4 linked regions of the Caenorhabditis elegans genome follow. The protein of the gene in region 4 interacts with the protein of the main gene of each other region in a pairwise test. Each region holds a gene or a part of one and is shown on either strand. Other genes may lie near its edges. The genes, in order: emg-1, cbpl-1, snn-1 and rimb-1.

Region 1 (3,852 bases), 8.9 Mb from region 4:
TTGAAAAAATGGCCCGTTTTCGGTGTCAAAACTACTGTACCTGGTCTCGAAGCGAAGATTTTTTATGCCAAATATTGTGCGCCTTTAAAGAGTACTGTAATTTCCAAATTTCATTTCTGCAGAATTTTCCTTAATTTGCCATAGTTTTTATGATAAAAAGTAAAAAAAAAAGTTTAAAATGTCAGAAATTCTATCAGAACTGGAGAGAAAATATGAAAATTGTTTTTTTTTTTCAAATTTTTTTACAGTTTTTCTCCAGTTATGTTGAAATTTATAATATTTTACAGTTTTCTTGTATTTTTTAATTTTTTATTTGAGTTTATCTTTTTTTTTTAATCGATAATTTATCGAAAAACTACAAAAAATCAATAAAAATTCCGCAACAACGAAAGTTTAAAACTACAGTACTCTTTAAAGGCGCACATCCTTCTGCAACTAAAAAAATTGTCGCTTCGATACCAGCTACCGTATTTTTAGCGAAAAAATCGCATTTTTCACGATTATTCTTCGATTTTGTCTGAAAAATTGGTAAAAACTGAAAAGTTAGGCTCCTGGACTTTTTTATTTAGAATTTTTCTGAAAAAAAAAAGTTTTTGCCGAATTTTATGCCAAATATTGTAAAATTTTAAAACGTTTTAAATTACTACCTAATAAAACTGAAAAAATAAAAAAAAAAGAGAACTCTACGAAAGGAAAATCAAAGAAAAAACTAATTTTTTGGGTTTTTAGAATATTTGATTTTTTTAAAACAATTTCAGTGTAAAAGTAAGAAATAGACATTGAAATTTACAAAAAAACGGCATTTTTTTTCGAAAAAAAAAAGTGATTTTGCACTTTATAAGATGAAGATAGTAACAAAAACAGACAACAATAAAATGAAAAAACTGCAAAAAATCAATTAAATAATTCCCCAAATCTCCTCAAGTCCACTGGTCACTTTGGCACAAGTCAACGCTGCACTCAATGGATAATTGCTGATCTTGGTCTCAGAATCGTTGTAATCGACGACGATCTTTCCACGAGCAATTCCACCGATAATAAGGACCAGAGGCTCGTCGGTTTCCGGTGCAACAAGCTTATTAGCCATTGTTAGCTCAGGTACATTGAACGACATGAGCATCTTACGGGATCCCACTGGAAGATGGTTCGACACTGGATTCTTCACTACTGACATCAGCTTTTGAGTGGTTTCGGCGGCTCGAATGGAGAGTTTGTGCAGGAGTTGGACTGAAAATATGGAAAATAGAAAATAGGGGGATTTTGCATAAAAATACCTAATTGCAAGAAAAGTCACAAAAAATCCAATAAAAAGTATTTTAAAGCATGTTTTTGAAAATTGGATTTTTGTGCTCTTTTTTGTGAATTTTTTTTTGATTTTCAGACTATTTTGGGGTATTTTGAATCCGGGTATTTTTAAAAGGAAAAGGGTATTTTTAAAAATTTATGTTTAAATTTGATAAAAAATAATTTTTAAAAAACTCGAAAAATTGTCTTTTTTCTTATTTTACATACAAAAACACTTCAAAATATATTTTTTTCAATTTCCAATAAACCAAAAACTCACCCATAAGTCCACAGAATCGATCAAAAGTTCTTGGAATTCTGCACTGTGGTGAGACATCAACGAGCACATTCTTGCTCGTTCTAAAGAAGACACGAAGCTTTCCGGCTCTGTTAAGCGGACTATCAAGTAGATTCAACAAGCATTGATGTAGGATATCTGGCCGATAATCAGCCGGATCTTTTTTCTGTTTTCTCAGAAAATTCGCGTGTTTATCACTGCTCAAAATTGCGTATTCTCCACCGACTTTTGCAGTTTCAAGACTACATCCTTCCAGTACAACGTACAAAATCTTCTTGTCCTCCAATTGATTATCCGTCTTCATGCGCTTCGCATTTGGCGGTGCAACTGTATCGTACTCGTGGGACATCTGAAATTCGGAGAAATTAATTTTTTTTGTCATAAAGTAATTTTTTTAGGACCAAAAATCGAATTTTCAATAATTCTGATGAAAAAAAAATTATTTTCTGAATAATATTGTGATTTTTTATAGTTTAGCACAAATTTTAAATAAAAGCTGTGGGAACAACGATAGGTCGTTCTGTAAAATTTTCGAAAAAATGCCGCTTTTTTGGAAATAAAATTGAGTTTTTCGACTTTTGGAAAAATTTCTAATTTTCCATATCTATCAATATAGGAATATACATAATTTTTGATAAATTAAAAGTTTTCACTTCTTTTTTCGTTTTTCGATATTTTTTCGTCAAAAACACTGAAAAATTTCTGCGGAGAAAATGTAAGTCGAAAATCAAAAAACTCAAAAACTCAAAAACGAAAAAATTTGTAAATTTGAACGGTTTTTCAAAAATTTCAGTGAGTTCCTTTTTTTGTCGAATTTCCCCTAAAACATGAAAATTTAACTAAATATTTTATTTCGGGATTTTTGAATTAACGAAAAATGGTTTTATTTTATTTTTTCGATTTTTGAAGCTCCTGTAAAGATTTTTATAAAACAAGTTCAAAAAATAATATGATGGTTTTTAAACCGAAAATAATTCTCACAGAAAAAAAAACTCAACAAAAATATAAATATCGAGATCAATCTTCATTGCAAATAGTACAAAAAATATCAAAATTACTTCAAAATAGTCATAAAAAAGTCGGAAACAACTCGCGGGAGCTGCAACTTCGAGATCGAGTCCTCCACAATTTTATCATTGATATGAAGCCAAACTTTTCTGAAAAAAAAGAGGATTTGAGGTGAATTTTTCAGCTGAAAAAAAAACCCACCGAAACGAGGTATTTGTCACATTTGTGCTCTCGTCTGCCTTCAAAATTCCCATTTTAACGAGATGATCCAATTCTCGGAATACGTAGACATCACTGCTCACGTTCAGTGGAGGATAGTGTTGATTAACGAGTTTTTTGAATTCTGAAATTACGGAGAAAATAGATTTTTAAAAAATAAGCTTAAAATTTTCATGTTTTTTCTCATCAATATAATCGAAAATTAGATTTAAAAAAAATCATATTTTATGGTTAATTTTCTGAACATTTTCTTAATTTTTCGGAAATTCAAAAAATCGAAAAATTTTTCGTTTTTCAATTTTTAAAAATTCGAAAAATCGAAAATTCCGAGATAAATTTTAAAAAATACCTAGAAAAACGTTTCGATACGAAGTTTTTGGCGCCAAAAGTGGTCCATCTGACTCTTTATTCTGCACAAGTCTCCAGACACAAAGAAAAACGCATTGTGCTCGAACTGTTTGATCTGAAAATTTGAAAAATTTTTAGAATTTCACTGGAATTATTAAATTTTTGAGCCGAAAAAACAGTATATAATTAGTTTTTTCTAGATTTTACCGGATTTTTTTAATTTTTCAGAAAAATTTCAAAAGCTGTAAAGATTAAAATAGGTTTTGATTGAAAATCACGATTTTTGCATGATTTTTTACATTTTAAAGTTGTTTAAAATTTGAAATTTGTTCCGAAAAAAAAAGGTAAAAAATTACTTTATCAGCTCAATTTCCAGATTTGAAATCAGAATTTTTAATTCTTTGCGGAATTTCAAAAAGTGAACTTGAATTGTTCATTTTTTGTTTTCAAAATTAGAAAATCGTGGGTTTTTTCTGCCTTTTTCAAAGTTTTAGCAGAATTTCTACCTTTTAAAATCAACAATTTTCCATTATACGAGGGAGAAGTCGTCTCGACAATTTTACGAATCTGTTTGCTGATTTCCTCGGGTTTCCACGTGTCTTCTACGTCACAATAGTAACCGAAAAGCATCAGGAATTGCGCGGCCAATTGTTTCAGAACGACGTAGTGACTTGTCTGAGAATATGGACTTTAAT
Region 2 (5,481 bases), on a different chromosome or scaffold from region 4:
CCAAATTATATTTGATGCTTTTTTCCAATTTTCTTTCGTGTTTTGTCCCGCGACATCTTCATCCAGTGCCTCTTATGAATCGTCTAGTTCTTTCTTATTTTTTGCCTTATTTTCAGTTGGCTCCAACCCATCCAACCAGTCATCTCACTCTTTTTGCACTTTCCAGGGCCCCAAATCTTTTTCGATCACATTTTTTTCTTTTGCCTCACATTCGGAACACTTTGATTTTAATATAATAGTTTAAAGAATGATATTCTTGACAAATTCGCATCCATCAATATTAGTAGAACATGCTCATCATGAAATACCCCTTTTCCTTATTGGAAAATCGACCATAGACGGGTCCATATCGTCTTTTCATTCTATTTCCCCCTCCTCATTTGTGCCCTACTTGTACTATTCATTCGTGAAAATAGACTTTGTTTTTTTAAAACGAAAATATTACAAGTCCTCGCTCGTTCCTCTACCACTAGGCTTCAATCATTTCACGGATCTTTTCTGACTTTTATAAACTAGATTTCGTCTTTTTTTTAAATGAACAATATATCTCGAATTTAATATTTTCATTATACGTGCAATATTTAATTTGATCTGATTTTACACGAAATGAAAACTATAAACAAACAAGTAAGAAAATGATGAAAAGTGCGATAAAACATTGTAAGAAAATTGAGCAAAAACTGAAAGAATGAGAGAATCGTAATACCCATGAATGTTTGTTAGGTAGAAGTGCAGATAGGTAAGTTAAGATTTTGAATATAAAATATCATTTCGATGATCCAAACGCTTTTGCGAGAATTCCGTTCCGCTTTACAGTTCCAGAAAGTTTTCGTTCACTTGCCACGTTTGACGAAGGTCCGGCTGAAAAAAGAAACATATTAAAACAGAATAAGTAATGTAGGAGTTAAGAAATGTAGATATTAAAATTTATTTTTATTCATTTTCGTATTATCCGGATGCGAAATTTTCAGATTTTCGCGCTAAAAATACGGTCCCGGTCTCGAAACGAAAACTGTCTGCTAAAAAAGGAGGGTATGCTCTTTTAGCGAGTACTGTGAGTTCAAACTTGTGTGGCTGCGGAATTTTCATAGATTTTTCATAGGGTTCCGATAAAAATAAACTTATTAAAAAACCAGTTTTTAAAACACATAAATTTTAACAAATCTAGAAAAAAACGTTTGAAGAACCGATGAAACTCCCGCAGAAAGTTTAAAACTGCAGTAGTTTTTAAAGTCAGACACAATTTGCATTCATATTCCACCTACAAAGACTGAATGATTTTGTTTTCTAAATGGAAATTTCCCAATACCGAAAACCAAAAACAATACTCTTGAGCGCAAAACTACAAGTGATTGCATAGTTACTACTGTCTTTCAGCTCTTTCAAGGTAACTGCCATCTTGAAAAAAAAAACGAGAAAACACAAGTCTATAACTACAAAAACATGCCAATTCTAGTGCTAACGACTCCCGTCGTAGATGTGTGCATTCCACCGTTCATCGTGCTTCTACGGATTGGAGCTCCTGGTGGATTGTTATTTGCTTCTCTCGGAAGACTTGAACTCCGTTTGGCCATGGCAGTTGAATATGCGGGGGGACTGGCGGTAACAACTGAAGAATGACATAACTACGAAAAGACTAACACAATAATATAAAGCCTTGCCAAATTAAATAAGAATGTGCAGAAAGTTTTGAAAAATCAAAGAAAAAAACGTACCATTCATAGATTGTATGGCAGCCTCCAGCTGTTCGAGATCAGGCGACAGTGGCATCACAGCAGATGTATTTGTTATAACTGAGGTAGTTGGCATTGTAGTAGTTGCTGCGGACTGAGGGCGTCGGACTGCTGTGGAGGAAACACCCATAACTGGTGTCTTTTTCACTGGCGAACTCATTGTGCGAGGTCTGAAAGTTTTCATGGTACTGTAATTTGTTTGAGTTTGGCAGATTGCAGTGACATAGCAATATCAAAATTGATTGTAGTCAGAAATCTTACACATTAGAACTAGATGCCGGCAAACTTCCAATACTCATTCGAGGGACCGGTGTTGTTACAGCTGGAGGTGGAGCTCTTGGAAGTCGACTCTTTTCAGTTGGAAATGTTGCTGAATTTGGAAGACGAGCTACAGGAGGAGGAGCTGGCTGTTGTCTATTAACTGCTGGTTTTGCACCTCGATTCGCCATTATTAGGGATCCTGTGTCGGGTGGAAGTTGAGGTAGCTGCAATAACATAAAATATGAAATGCGGAAATTCCATAACTTGTTTTGAGAGCTAAATTTTGCTAATCATGAGTGCAATCAACTATGTGAAGGTTGTCTTATTATGTTCAACTGATAAAAGAAAATGCAGATGGGAAATATCATGTAATAAGTAAAAAGTTACAACTTTTTTGCATTTGTCAAGAGCTAATTTAAAACAATTCTTTTGACATTTAGAGACATCGATAAACCAAATTTCTATGACCGTTTCAGGAAAATTGAAAATTTGAAACAAAACTCACTACATTCCCAGGCTTATCAATTGACATTTTTGCTCCAGTTAACGTCAGATTCCGTCGAAGCATCTGAAGATCGGCTTCTTGTCCACGAACTGTTTCTCGAAGGCTCAGATTTTCAGTTTTCACCATTTTCTGAGTTTTTGTGAGCGATTCCCGTTCTGCTCGTAAAAACGTGACTTCTTTTTTCAGCTCCTCAATAAGCTCGCGTTCACTTAACGCTGATGATGGACCAGCTGAAAGTTTTATTGAACTAAAAAAACTTATTTTGCAGTTAACTCACGTTTGGTAGGATCATTTTGATTTTGAAGCATAATTTGTTCGGCTTTCACTCTTAATTCGTGCATTTTTAAAAGCATTTGTTTGCGTTCTTGTATCAAATACAAAACGATTGATTCGTGACGTTTTTTCTCATTTCCAAGTGTCATTTCCATTTTATCCTTTGCGATTTCGGCTTTGCGTTTCTCCTCAATATGAAATTCAATTTGTTGTTGAAGTTGATTTCGTTCTTTTTCCAAGTGAGCGACCAAATCATCTCCTTGTTTCGCGTACCTAAAGATTTGTTCTAAATTTTAGGCGTATGAGTCGAGTTATAATGTTTATTAAGGTATTTTCTTATTTCGTAATATATAACTCACCTTATTTTAGCTTCTCTATCCGCCTCCAACTTTTTCACGAGTTTATATTGCTTCTTCTCCAGCGCAACCAACAGCTGAAAACTTTTTTGATTGGTGTAAATAGAGGGAGCTGCACAAAAATTTAATTACCACAGCCGCATTTCTTTGCGATTGCTTTTGCACTGCCATCATCTTATCCAACTGATCCACTTGTGACTCGTACATTTGAACAATCTTCTCTTCATCAATCTGTTCGCCAGTAATTGCCGAATCTCGTCGCAACGCAGCAAATGGATCGTTCATATTTAGTTTTCCATATTTAGCTTCGGATAGTAGAATTTTCGTTCTTTCACGTTTCAGATGATCAATGACATCTTCTCTTGCTTGAACTTCACCTTCCATGAACGAGAGCAATTTCATCAGTTCATCACTTGAGAAATCGTTAACCCCCTGCTCTTCGGGAAGATTGTCATATTCGGGCTGAACCTTTCGAATAGACGGAAGTACCAATTTCTGAACATTGTAGAAGTTTTTGGTTAATTACTGATAAATTATATATTTTCAAAACTTTGGGTGTGGCTCAATCACTCGGAAAATGAGCGTTAATTTGCAATCTTAGAATAATTTGAGACTGTGAATATTAAAAATTAGAGTATACAAACTTTGCTTACAATTTTATGTTCCTTGTGGAATTAAAACTCACTTTTGATGTTGATTGAAAAGTTGGATCAAAACTGTCATCGAGTAAATTTGGCATCGTGAAAGAAACACGGCAAACGCCGTGAAGCAGAAGTCTGGAAAAATTATTTTTGAAACGTTTTCGAAATTTCTGGAGAAAAAAACACGAAGTCGATGCAGAAGAAGAAAAAGCAGACGTTGAACGTGGATAAACTGAAGAACTAGAGACCGAGGGATATAGAGAAAGGGATTCAAGTGTGTAACTTCGTGTGCTTCTATTTCACAGTGATTGCTTGAAGAGGTGGAGACGCAGACGAAATGTTGTCATTCCCTATGCCTTGCGACCGGGCTCTCACATGTCGAGAGCAGGGCTCTACTGGCTCCGCTCCAAGTGATGACACTTGGTTCGTTTTGAACGATATCTATTGCAAGGAACTTTTATGTTAAGAGAGAAGATCCGTTCGAATAACGATATAGCAAAAAGTTCAAATGAACTTTGTAAAGGTGACCTACACAATCAGATGTTATCGAGAAAAATCTAAACATCTTGTTCAGCCATTTTAACTGGGTTGTTTTCACCATGAAAAAACACGGTGGTGATGCTGAGCTTAAGTACACTGTTTGTTGAAGATGACCAGCAACGAAAAAAGCAAACAAGGCGGAGGAGAATGTTTGCCAGAGTCTGGTAGTTTTTCTAGTAAGAATCCATAATTGCAAAAAAGGAAATCATATCCCAAATAGTTGAATATTGAAAGACGCAAATTTTATATCTCCAAAATTTAGGATTCCTAAACGAGTCAAACATTTTTTCTATTTAGCCTTCCAGATATTGAAAATAATAAACAGGAATTTTCCTCAAATCTGGATGAAGATCGATGGTTATTTTGAAAAATTAGTACGCAAAAAGAGATTTCGAGTCAGAGAAATGGATACAACTAATCTAAACCTGCAATCGATGATGTCTCTCTCATTAAAAATCAAAGTTAACCTATTTTAGTTCACTATCAAGCAACAAATCCTTTAATAAAAAGATTACTGTAATTACGCGAAATGATAAAAACTTATAAAAAGTGATAAAATAATTATTTAAACTGGCGGTAAACGAGAAAGCGATAAGAAAATGTCTGGTGACGTCACTCAGAGTCGCAAAAACTTTGCGCGTAATATACTGCGCGCGGTACGCAATAGAAGATACATGGTGTTTGCACACGTATACGGTAAGCGCTCAATTGAGAACGACTTTTTTGTTTTAATGTTTTATCAAGATTTTACTTTAATTAGACGAATCAATCATTATTTATTGTGCCACATTCGTAATTACTCCTTTCTTTTTAAGATTAAATCATCTTAAAATCAATATTGTAGTGTTCAAACTGGCATCAACTGCTCAATCAACGTTGGAGTCGCTGAAGGCGGCTCGACGGAGTTCGTCGGGAGTTTCAAATCAATCAATCTCGCTTTCATCGACAACTTTATCTCAAGCTATCAGTTCAATCGATAATGGAAAAAGTGCAGTTGTGGTTGAGATTGGAAGCAAGTTAACGAAGTTTGAGTTCCACTGTTCTTAAATTTCATAATTTTACTATGTTTAGAATTGGATGTGCCGGAGAAATAACACCTCGACATATTATCCGAACAGAATACGTCGATGATGAAGGAAAATTGATAACTTCTGATGAATTATTAGCTCTAA
Region 3 (4,632 bases), on a different chromosome or scaffold from region 4:
CCCTAAAAAATCGTGAAATAATCTCAAGTATTCGAATTTTCCTTCAATTAAAACCACCCGAAAATGACGGAAAATAGCGATTTTTGAGTTTGACTCAAAATATCTCGGCTCAATGAGCTCCAATCTTTCTGAAAAAAAGAATACAGAGGTAGGGCAAGCTTTTTGAAAAGACAGCAAAAAACCGCATCAAAATCCATCCACCCACCGTCAAGTTACACGCGCGTTTTCAAAGTGAAATCTTTTTGTCGACAAAAAGGGGCGGAGCGAGGGTCATTTTTTTTTGGATTTTGAAGCTTAATATCTCGGCTCCTGTAAATCGAAATTGGCTCAAAATTCACAAGAAAACTTATTTCACTGCCGTCCTCCTGTCATTAAATTTTCGTGAGCTTAGACAGAAAACTGACAAAACGCCAAACTTTCAAATTTAAAAAAATAGTTGAGGGTCATTTTGAAAACACCTTAAGCTTCATAACTCGGCGAGTTTTGATGGAATCAATTTGAAATTTTACACGAAAGCTTCTTAGTGGCCTATACGTCTCTGTGTTAAATTTCGCTTTGATCGGCCAACGGGAACCCTTTGAAAAATGAAAAAAACGCTGTAATCCTAACCCTAAATAGCGTCAGTGCTGCTGTAATCCTAACCCTAAATAGCGTCAGTGCTGCTGTAATCCTAACCCTAAATAGCGTCACTGACGCCAAGCCAAGGCATAAGTTTTAGCCTAGGTCTAAACCTAAGCCTAAGAGTAAGCTTAAGACTAAGCCTAACCCTACGCGAAAGCCTAAGCTTAAGACTAAGCCTAAGCCTAAGCCTAAACCAAAGCCTAGGCCTAAACCTGAGTAAGCCTTTCGCATGGTAAAATAATTTTTTCAAAAAAAATTAAAACTTCCAAAATGTTACCAGAGTATTTACCTAGCCTTGTACATATTTAAAATAATCGAATGTCTGCAAAAAGCTGTATTTCGAGCAATTTTACGGGTGTGAAATTTTTTATGATATATTATCAATAAAACTGACCAATTTTCAAAGATGGAGTAGCGTCAGTGGATTTTTTTTTGTTTTTTTTTTTTAATACACTTATAATGATTTAAGACAACCGAGTATCACATCAAAAAACTCTAAAAAATTTTAGATTTTTCAAAATTTCCGGACAAAGTTTTGGCAAATTGCCAAAATTTCGAAAAAATATGAGCTCTTGAGGAAATCCCAAGCAATGTCGCATGTTTCGACCCCTACAATGTTTTAATACAAATAATTGAATCAAAATCATTTACTATATATAAAGCGCTTATTCCGTTTGTCCATAGTTTGTAGTCTATGTAGTCTTTGTAGTCTGCGAAGTTTTAGCTTCTGGAGGGATAGTGAGTTGGGGGTTAGTGTAGGGATATAGTCGGGGTACTGTAGTGGTACAATAGTGGTACGGTAGGAATACTGTAGGGTTACGGTAGTTTCATAAAAAATTAATTTTCAGCCCCAGAAGTCGGGGGCCGCGCCGAAGGTGCGGTCCACGGCTGGTAAATAAATAAATAAATAAAAATTGGTTTTTTAAAGCAAAAATCTTTGATGTGCGTTTGTAAATTGTTCAATTCTTATAAATTTGTCATAAAATATTGGGTCCCATCACGAAAATTCCCAGGTTTTCGCGGCAGGATCGCTAAGTTTTGAAATTTGATCAAAACATGTCATGATTATACTCAAATGAAAGCTCTCTCTTGAGCCAAACTCAAATTTTTTATTAATTTTTTGTTTCGAACAATTTTAAAGCAAAATTCCAGCTAACAAACCTATCATGATTGAGTGACCTCTCCAGTGCAGCGGCAAGTGATTCCCGAGACTTGGCAGGTGACGTTGGAGCACTGAAATAAGTGAACATATCTGACAAAGTGATTTAAACACATGTTATCTTGGCAGCAGAACAGAATATAGAAAAAAAATGTGCGGGTTTCCATGGAGATACCCAGATTTGCATTTTCTCGGGAAAAATGAAGGAAATTCTCTGAGGAAAATTTCCCACGATTCTCTCATTTTACACTATATTTTATTTTTTTTTTATCTTTGGCAGTCTCAAAAGAGCCGCACACTACAATTTTAATGAATGTTTTCGCTAGCGGGTTTTTTGGTTCTTTCTTTTTTTTTTTTGAAGTGGATGACAAATTTTCTTGAGAATTTGTGTATTTTTTGAAATAAAACTTTTAATTTGAGCTTTTTAAATGATCTGGTGAAATTTTGGAATTTGAAAAGATCAGGTGGTTCAGATAAGTATAAACAAGCCCAGGTTTAGAATTAAGAGATTTGGAGCATTCCTGTGCTCCGCGAGCATTATCTGAACTGATAAGAATCTTTTAGAATCAATTTTTCAAACAAAAAAGTTCGAGCCTGTTCAGAAAAGTATAAACAAGCCTAGGCTTGGAGCTTTAGAGATTTGAAGCATGAGCGGCTCTGTGAGCCCGGGAGCTCCAGAATCAAATTTTTTTAAACCAAGCAATATGGGTGTCAAATTGATGCTATTGGCAGGCTGTACAACAATTCTGAACTGGAATTTGAAAAATCTGGAAAATGAAGCATATTGAGCTCTTTTTTTAAATTTTTGTCAGACAAAATTGACTGGAAACTGGGAAAAATATATTAAAAAAAGGTTTTTGAAAATTTCATTTGAATTTTCAGATTAAAAAGCTCAAGGCGGCCTAGGTTTGGAATTTTAGAGATTTGGAGGATCGGCTGCTCTGTGAGCTCCGGGAGCTCCAAACTCAAAATTTTTAAAAACCAAGCTATGTGGGTGTCAAATTCAAACTTTCAAAGTTTTCTAAACTGGAGTCTTCCCAGCCGGCCGAGCTCACGGAGCACACAAATATTTGAGATTTTTTATTTTATTTTAAAATTTCGTACCTTATCGTATTAGACACCTTATTAGCAATCGACTGAAATGAAAAAGAGCTCGGCGGTCCCGAGTTCACGTCATCCATTGGCTCACCCTCATCCTCGGAAAACGAGAATTTTCGCTTGAAGAAATTCATTTTCTGAAACTGGAAAATTGGATTTTCGTGAGCAAAAAAAGGGGGAAAAAGAGCAAAATGTCAGAGAGAAGCCACAAATTTTCTTAAAATTTCCCCAGAGACCTTTTCAACCCATAATTAGAGTTAAAAATAACTAGAAACAACTCAAAAACCAAAAAAAAAAACCATGAAATGTACATTTTGTGGGTGAAGGAGAAAAGGGGAAAGTGTCTGGAGGGGTTGAAGCTAAGGAAGTGAATAGAGAGAGAGAGAGAGAGCACAGAGAGAAACTTAGAGATAAAGAGAAAAAAGATGGAGGAAAGTGGCGAGGAATAGGGGCATCAATTTGAAAAGCGAGAACGTCAGTCCCCCTAAGGGGCCCCACAAACTTTTTGATGAAATTTTGAGATTGTTTAGAGGCAAGGTTGGTGGCCTAACATTTTTAGTTTAAGCTTTTAGGCTGTGTGATTAGAATTTTTGAATTCCCCTAGATTTTGCGGTTTAGAAAAGAATAAACATGGCTAGACTTTGAATTTTTGAGGAATGGGCTCGCGGAGCACCAAAAAGTGTCGATTTTCTGGAAACGGGCTCTTGCCGGTGCTCCGCGAGCCAAAACCCAGAAATTTCAGAACCTGGACAATATGAATATTATCTGAAAACACTAAACACGCTGATTCTGATACTTGTGTTCATTTTCCTCAAAAATTCAAATTTGTGCTTTTTAGAGCTGAAAGACACTGGGCTCCGCGAGCTCGAGACCGAAAAATTCAGGACTTGGACTATTTGAAATCTCTCATTGCTACAGTTTTTTTTAAAGAAAAATGTGAATACTTATTTGGAGCATTTCGAGCTTAAAAGAAGAAATTTCAAAATTTTTTCAAAGAAGAAGAGACTTTCAAAAAAAAAAAAAGAAACGTCACTTTTTAATTATGGCTTGACACTGGAAGATGTCTAATCAAATTTGAAGAAAAAATAGGAAAAAAAAGGAAGAAAAAAAAAGACTAACTCACGAAAGAAACTATTCGGGCCTTTTCAGTCATGGTTTTCAAATTTTAAAATCAGAAAAGTATATACATTACTAGGTTTAAGATCGCTGAGCACATCTGAGAGCTAGGAACTTTCCTCAAAATTTAAAGCTATTTGGAGAATTTAAAACGAAACATTTCTTAATTTCAAGAGATGTGTGGGTAATCTTGTATTCATTGAAGTGAAACAAGAAAGAAGGCGAGACGAAAAAGCGTATAATCCCGTAAAGTCGAAATGTTATACCCCCTTTTCTGCGTCGAAAAAAGGGGAGAAGCCGCATCCAAAATGCACATGGAGACGGAGAGAAACATGAAACAAAATCAAATGGAGCCGGGCGTAAGGAGAGTGGGTGAAATTTACATTTGGGTGAAAACTGAATTACCCAAAAAATACTAGTAGATGAGAGCGCAGACAATTTTTCGAGCCTCTGGAAAATGTAGAGAAAGCTCGAAAATTTGAACTTTTTAAATTTCAAAAATTTTTTATATTTTTGCGCCGAAAAATGTGAAATTTTATTTGAAAAAATGTCAGAAATTTCTGGGTACAAAAACTTTAGCATAGGATCTACATATTGGTTCATGTTAAAAATGCAAAAGTCTAGAGAAGCTCAGTGAA
Region 4 (4,656 bases):
GCGACCCGGAAAAAATTTCGAAAACTGGGCTTTTCATCGGAGCCTAGCCGATATGGGTGTTAAATTGAAGCTACTGGCAAGAAAAAATTGAATTATTAGTTTTCAAGAGCTTATCTCGAAAATTGGCTGAGTAGCGGCTCGATATTTGAAAATTTCGAAAAAAAAAAATTTTTTTTCGAGAATGTTTTAAAATTTTCAACTCACTCCTAGGCGTTTCGTTGTTCTTGATCTCTTGTACAGTAACTTTTGTGACGTCAGCTGGTGGGTAAGGGCAAACCTGAAAAATTTGAAAATTATATATTTTTGAAAAAATTAATTTAAAAAAATTTCAAAAAAAAAAAAATTCCAGAAAATTTTTTAAATTTTTTTTATTTCAAAATTGCTTTTCAAAACTGAATTTGAAAGAATTTTTAGCCAAATTTTCTTTAAAAATTCCTCAAAAACTTACAGAATCGGGTAGTGTTGAGTGATCCGGAGAGGAGAAGTCGTGTGTGATTGTCGAGAAATGTTGGGGTATTCGAAGCGGGAATGATGGTGATGGAGCCCGTGCATTTGCCAGGAGCACTGAATCCGGAACTCTGAAAAGATTTGGTTTTATTTTCTAAATTTTGGAGAAATAAAAAAATTTAGAAAAAAAAGTTTTTTAAATTTTTTTTTTTTTTGAAAATTATTCTTAAAATTATTTTCATTTTCCTTATTCAAAATATAAATTTTTTTCGTTTTATTAGAAATTCACCGCGTTGGGAGCTTCAAAATGACCCCAACACATGCCTATATCCTTTTAATTTTAAAATTTGGGTCCCGCCACGAAAAGCCCCAGGGAACTGTAGTTTTCGAGTTTTTCAGAATTATATTATTTTTGCCATATTTTTCAAATACTCACAATTGTTATACATTTTAATTCAAGTTAAAATCTCAAAAATGAGAAAAGTTATGGATTTTCGAAACTTTTCCGAAAAAATTTTCCAATGGAAAGTTCAAAATCTACCGTAACCCTGAGGATGCTGACAAAAAAGTTAAACTAATACAAAATTCAAATTTAGTTTTTTGAGACCTTTCATTTGACCCCCATCATGCCTAGGTTCTTGGTAAAATTGAAATTTTTTGAATTGTTGAGTCCCACCACGAAAATTTTCAAAATTGGCGGAGCCTGGGAATGTTGGCTGTCAAATTAAAGCGAATAGCGTGAAAAATTCGAAAATAATGGTAAAATAGAAAAAATCAAACTTTTTTTCGTGTTACAGAATTTTTAAATATTTTACAAAATTAAAAATTTTGATTTTTTTGAATCTTTTCGAAAATCCGTAACTTTGTCAATTTTTATGCTACTCAGCACAAATTTTTTACAGGGTATATGAAAAGTTTTCAAAAATTTATTAGAAATATAAAACTGCAAACTTTCCGTCTAAACTACAGTAGCCGGTGGAGTTTTCGTGGTGAGACCCGAATTTTCAAAGTATGGCGGATTACTATTTTGAAGCTGAGATTATGCTCATTCTGATTATTTACAGAAAACATGGTTAAAACAAAAATTAAAAAAAAAAAACTTTTTTGAACAAAAAAAATTTTTTTTCCTCAAAAATGATCGAATTTTCACATAAAACCTGCTCCAATGAACTCGTCTCGTTGAGACCTTTAAAATGACCCCCATATCGGCTAGGTTCCGTCATTTTTGAAAATTTTCGGATCCCGCCACGAAAACTACAGTACCCCTCCGTGGTGGGACCCGGAAATTTCAAAGTTGGCGGAATATAGCCAATATGGGGGTCATTTGAAAGCTCTGAACACAGAGAATTCGAATTTTGTATTTTCAATCTCAGACTCCGAATTTTAAATCTTTTTTCACGGGAAAAAGTGAGATTTCGCCCAAAAAAGTATAAAAAGCTCAATTTTTAAGCTTCAAAATGCTCACCTCTCTACATAATTTGATGGTACCAGTCCCTGACGTCCATCCAGCGTTTCCCCACAATAAAATCCATCCGAATCCATTTCCCCTTTCACCAGAACCACATCTCCCGGCTGAAGGCTCAGCTCGAGCTGTGGATTCTCGTTCGGCGAATCCCTTAACGGTAGATATTGAAAAAGGGCGCGAAAAACGCGAGAATTGGGTCTCGAACGGAGTTGCAGGAGCAACGCGTCACTCGTCGGTGGTACTGTAGACGCGGATGACGTCGTGGGACCCAGATGGTTGGTGAACGAGGTCGACGGGCCTGGCACCATGCCATAGGAGGATGCGGGGGGTGGTGGGGGCGGCGGACCGGGTCCCGACAGACCGCCCAGCATTCAGTTGGTGACTAGGTGGTCCGCCTTGTTGTAGGGACCCCACGAACCTGAAATTAATAATTTAAATTTTTGAAATTTTTTTTTTGGATTTTTTTTTGGATTTTTTTTTTGGATTTTTTTTTTTTTTAATTTCAAAAAAAATTAAAAACTCAATTTAAAGCTTTGTAACCTAAAAATTTGAATTTAGCCCTTCGAGACCTTTCATTTAACACCCATCTTGGCTAGGCCCCGACTATTTTAAAAATTTGGGTCCCGCCACGAAAAGTCCCGGGGTACTGTGTAGAATGTTAAATATATTTTTCTAAAGCTTTTCAAAGAATTACAAAATTTTCGAAACTAAATTCAGGTAGAAAAAATTAAAATTCGCAAAGTTATCGATTTTCGAAAATCTTCGAAAATCTTCGAAAATCCATATTTTTATTATTTTTTAAGATTTTTTCTCAATTTTTAGCTCAGATTGTGTCAAAATTATCAAAAAAAACTAGGAAAAATAAGACTAACCCAAATTCACCAAGACTACCAAACCCTACAAGTTTTCGTGGCGAGACCAAATTTTTTCATATTTATTAGAACCTAGGCAATATGGGGCTTATTTTGAAGCTCTCAGCGTGCTGAATTCAGATTTTCTAGTCCTGACACAGCATAATTGTCGACAACAAGAAAAACGGTCCAACCTACCGCCGAATGATGGTGTAGACGATTGATGGTTGTTGTTGGAAGAGGCCACGATGTTAGATCCCGGTGGGCGCCTGCAGGAATTTTTATTTTTATTTTTGGGGTAACTTGTTGGAGGGAAATCCACGGGTGAATAGAGAAAAAAATATTTGGGTCATAAATGGGCGGGGCCTAAATGGGCGGAGCTTAAAACTGGGCGGGTTTATAATGACACATTAAACATTGGAAAAAGAGATTTTTGAAAAATTATTACTCTATGAAACTGTAAATTTTTTTTTTGAACTTCAGGTAAATGGACAAAAAAAAATTAGTCAATAAAGGGGCGGAGTCTGGGTAAGAAAAGGGCGGAGCTTGCAAATTATTCAGACATTTCTATTTTAGGAAAAAAACTTTTCATACAAAAACCAACTAAAAATCGTTTGAAAGAGAAGCTTTTATTTTTTATTTTTTTTTACAAGAATTTTTCCAACAAAGGGGCGGAGTCAAAAAGTGGGCGGTGCTTGTAAACTGTTTAGAAATTTTCATCAATTTAGAAAAAAACTACTTCATTAAAAAAAAATTGTTTCAATTTGAATTTTTATTTTTATTTTTTTCAAGAACTTTTGCCAATAAGGGGGCGGAGTCAAAAAGTGGGCGGGGTCTGTGCGAGAAGTAGGCGGAGCTATATATATATATAGGTGGGGCTTTTGAGCAATTCAAAAAATTTTTATTAAATTTTTTTTTAATGTCGTTTGAATTTGAAGTTTTTTCTTCATTTTTACGAGTAGCCTAATAAACCGAATTTATTTTAAAACCAAAGAAAAATAAATGAGCACCCACATACGGGCAAAAAAGAGCACAAAAAGAGAAGAAGCTGGAGTGCAAGAGAGCCCTCCGCCCCGTAAAAAGTAGTGGGACTAGTCAATGGAGAAATAGAAGCAGAGACGGAGAAGAAGCGGGGGGACGGAGAGCACGTAAACTACTTTTATCGACTTCCACTCACAGACCACTTGTCTGAGAGCCCGATGTACTTGGCGAAATTTGCCGGGAAATTTGCCGAAAAATTGCCGAAATTTGGAAGTTTTTTGCCAGAAAAAGGTACAGCTAAACTAAAACTAAGATATCTCGAAAACTAAAAAAGGTATCAAAAAATTGTCAACATACAAAATGTGCATATTTTTGTGCTCTATATTTTGTTAGTTGACAATTTTTTGATAACTCTCACAAGAACAAAGTTATGGGGGTTTTAAAATAGAGGAGAGCAAGGAGAGACGCAGATTGCGAACTGAAACACCTAAATCTCAGCTGATAAGAAAGTTGTCAAAAATTTGTTAACTAACAAAACAATAAGCGCAAAATTCTACGTATTTTGTTAATTGGCGCCGACAGGGAAAAAAGTTACAACAAGTTTAAAAAAATTCGAAATTAAAAAAAAAAAAAAATTTTTTTGAAATTTTAATAAAAATTTTCAAATTGTAAGGAAAAGCTGTTGGATATTTTTGATTGGAAAAATAATGTTTAAAAGTACATATTACATGATTTGCGTACCGTGGGAAAGTTTGGAGCACAAAATTAATAAAAGAGGTTTTTTTTTTTAATATTTCATCTGAAAAAAGTTGCATTTTCAGACGGTGAAGCCTTTATTTAAGCTTAGATTATTAAAATTTAAGAAAAATGAAAAAATATTTGTGTACTAAAAATGCACTAAGACAGCTTTGA

What was found.
Region 1: the proteins of rimb-1 (region 4) and emg-1 interact in a two-hybrid assay, tested with the Caenorhabditis elegans proteins (one large-scale study listed by BioGRID).
Region 2: the proteins of rimb-1 (region 4) and cbpl-1 interact in a two-hybrid assay, tested with the Caenorhabditis elegans proteins (one large-scale study listed by BioGRID).
Region 3: the proteins of rimb-1 (region 4) and snn-1 interact in a two-hybrid assay, tested with the Caenorhabditis elegans proteins (one large-scale study listed by BioGRID).

The regions. Positions count from the first base shown.
Region 1 is NC_003281.10:10,647,598-10,651,449, reverse strand, and holds emg-1 (Ribosomal RNA small subunit methyltransferase nep-1), read right to left. Parts: upstream 1,932-3,852; coding exon 1,565-1,931; intron 1,228-1,564; coding exon 899-1,227; 3' UTR 542-898; downstream 1-541. Other genes in the region: orc-4 (ORC (Origin Recognition Complex) subunit), read right to left, coding at 2,637-2,739, 2,792-2,933, 3,159-3,272, 3,664-3,832.
Region 2 is NC_003282.8:7,902,163-7,907,643, reverse strand, and holds cbpl-1 (Cortactin-binding protein-2 N-terminal domain-containing protein), read right to left. Parts: upstream 3,905-5,481; 5' UTR 3,868-3,904; coding exon 3,814-3,867; intron 3,624-3,813; coding exon 3,261-3,623; intron 3,206-3,260; coding exon 3,132-3,205; intron 3,046-3,131; coding exon 2,777-3,045; intron 2,730-2,776; coding exon 2,500-2,729; intron 2,219-2,499; coding exon 1,995-2,218; intron 1,904-1,994; coding exon 1,716-1,903; intron 1,610-1,715; coding exon 1,448-1,609; intron 862-1,447; coding exon 767-861; 3' UTR 549-766; downstream 1-548. Other genes in the region: npp-27 (C3HC-type domain-containing protein), read left to right, coding at 1-15; arp-11 (Actin-related protein 10), read left to right, coding at 5,373-5,481.
Region 3 is NC_003282.8:1,812,085-1,816,716, forward strand, and holds the start of snn-1 (ATP-grasp domain-containing protein), read right to left. Parts: upstream 3,016-4,632; 5' UTR 3,013-3,015; coding exon 2,885-3,012; intron 1,855-2,884; coding exon 1,783-1,854; intron 1-1,782.
Region 4 is NC_003281.10:1,786,711-1,791,366, reverse strand, and holds the start of rimb-1 (Variant SH3 domain protein), read right to left. Parts: upstream 3,035-4,656; 5' UTR 2,962-3,034; intron 2,331-2,961; 5' UTR 2,284-2,330; coding exon 1,913-2,283; intron 579-1,912; coding exon 449-578; intron 278-448; coding exon 205-277; intron 1-204.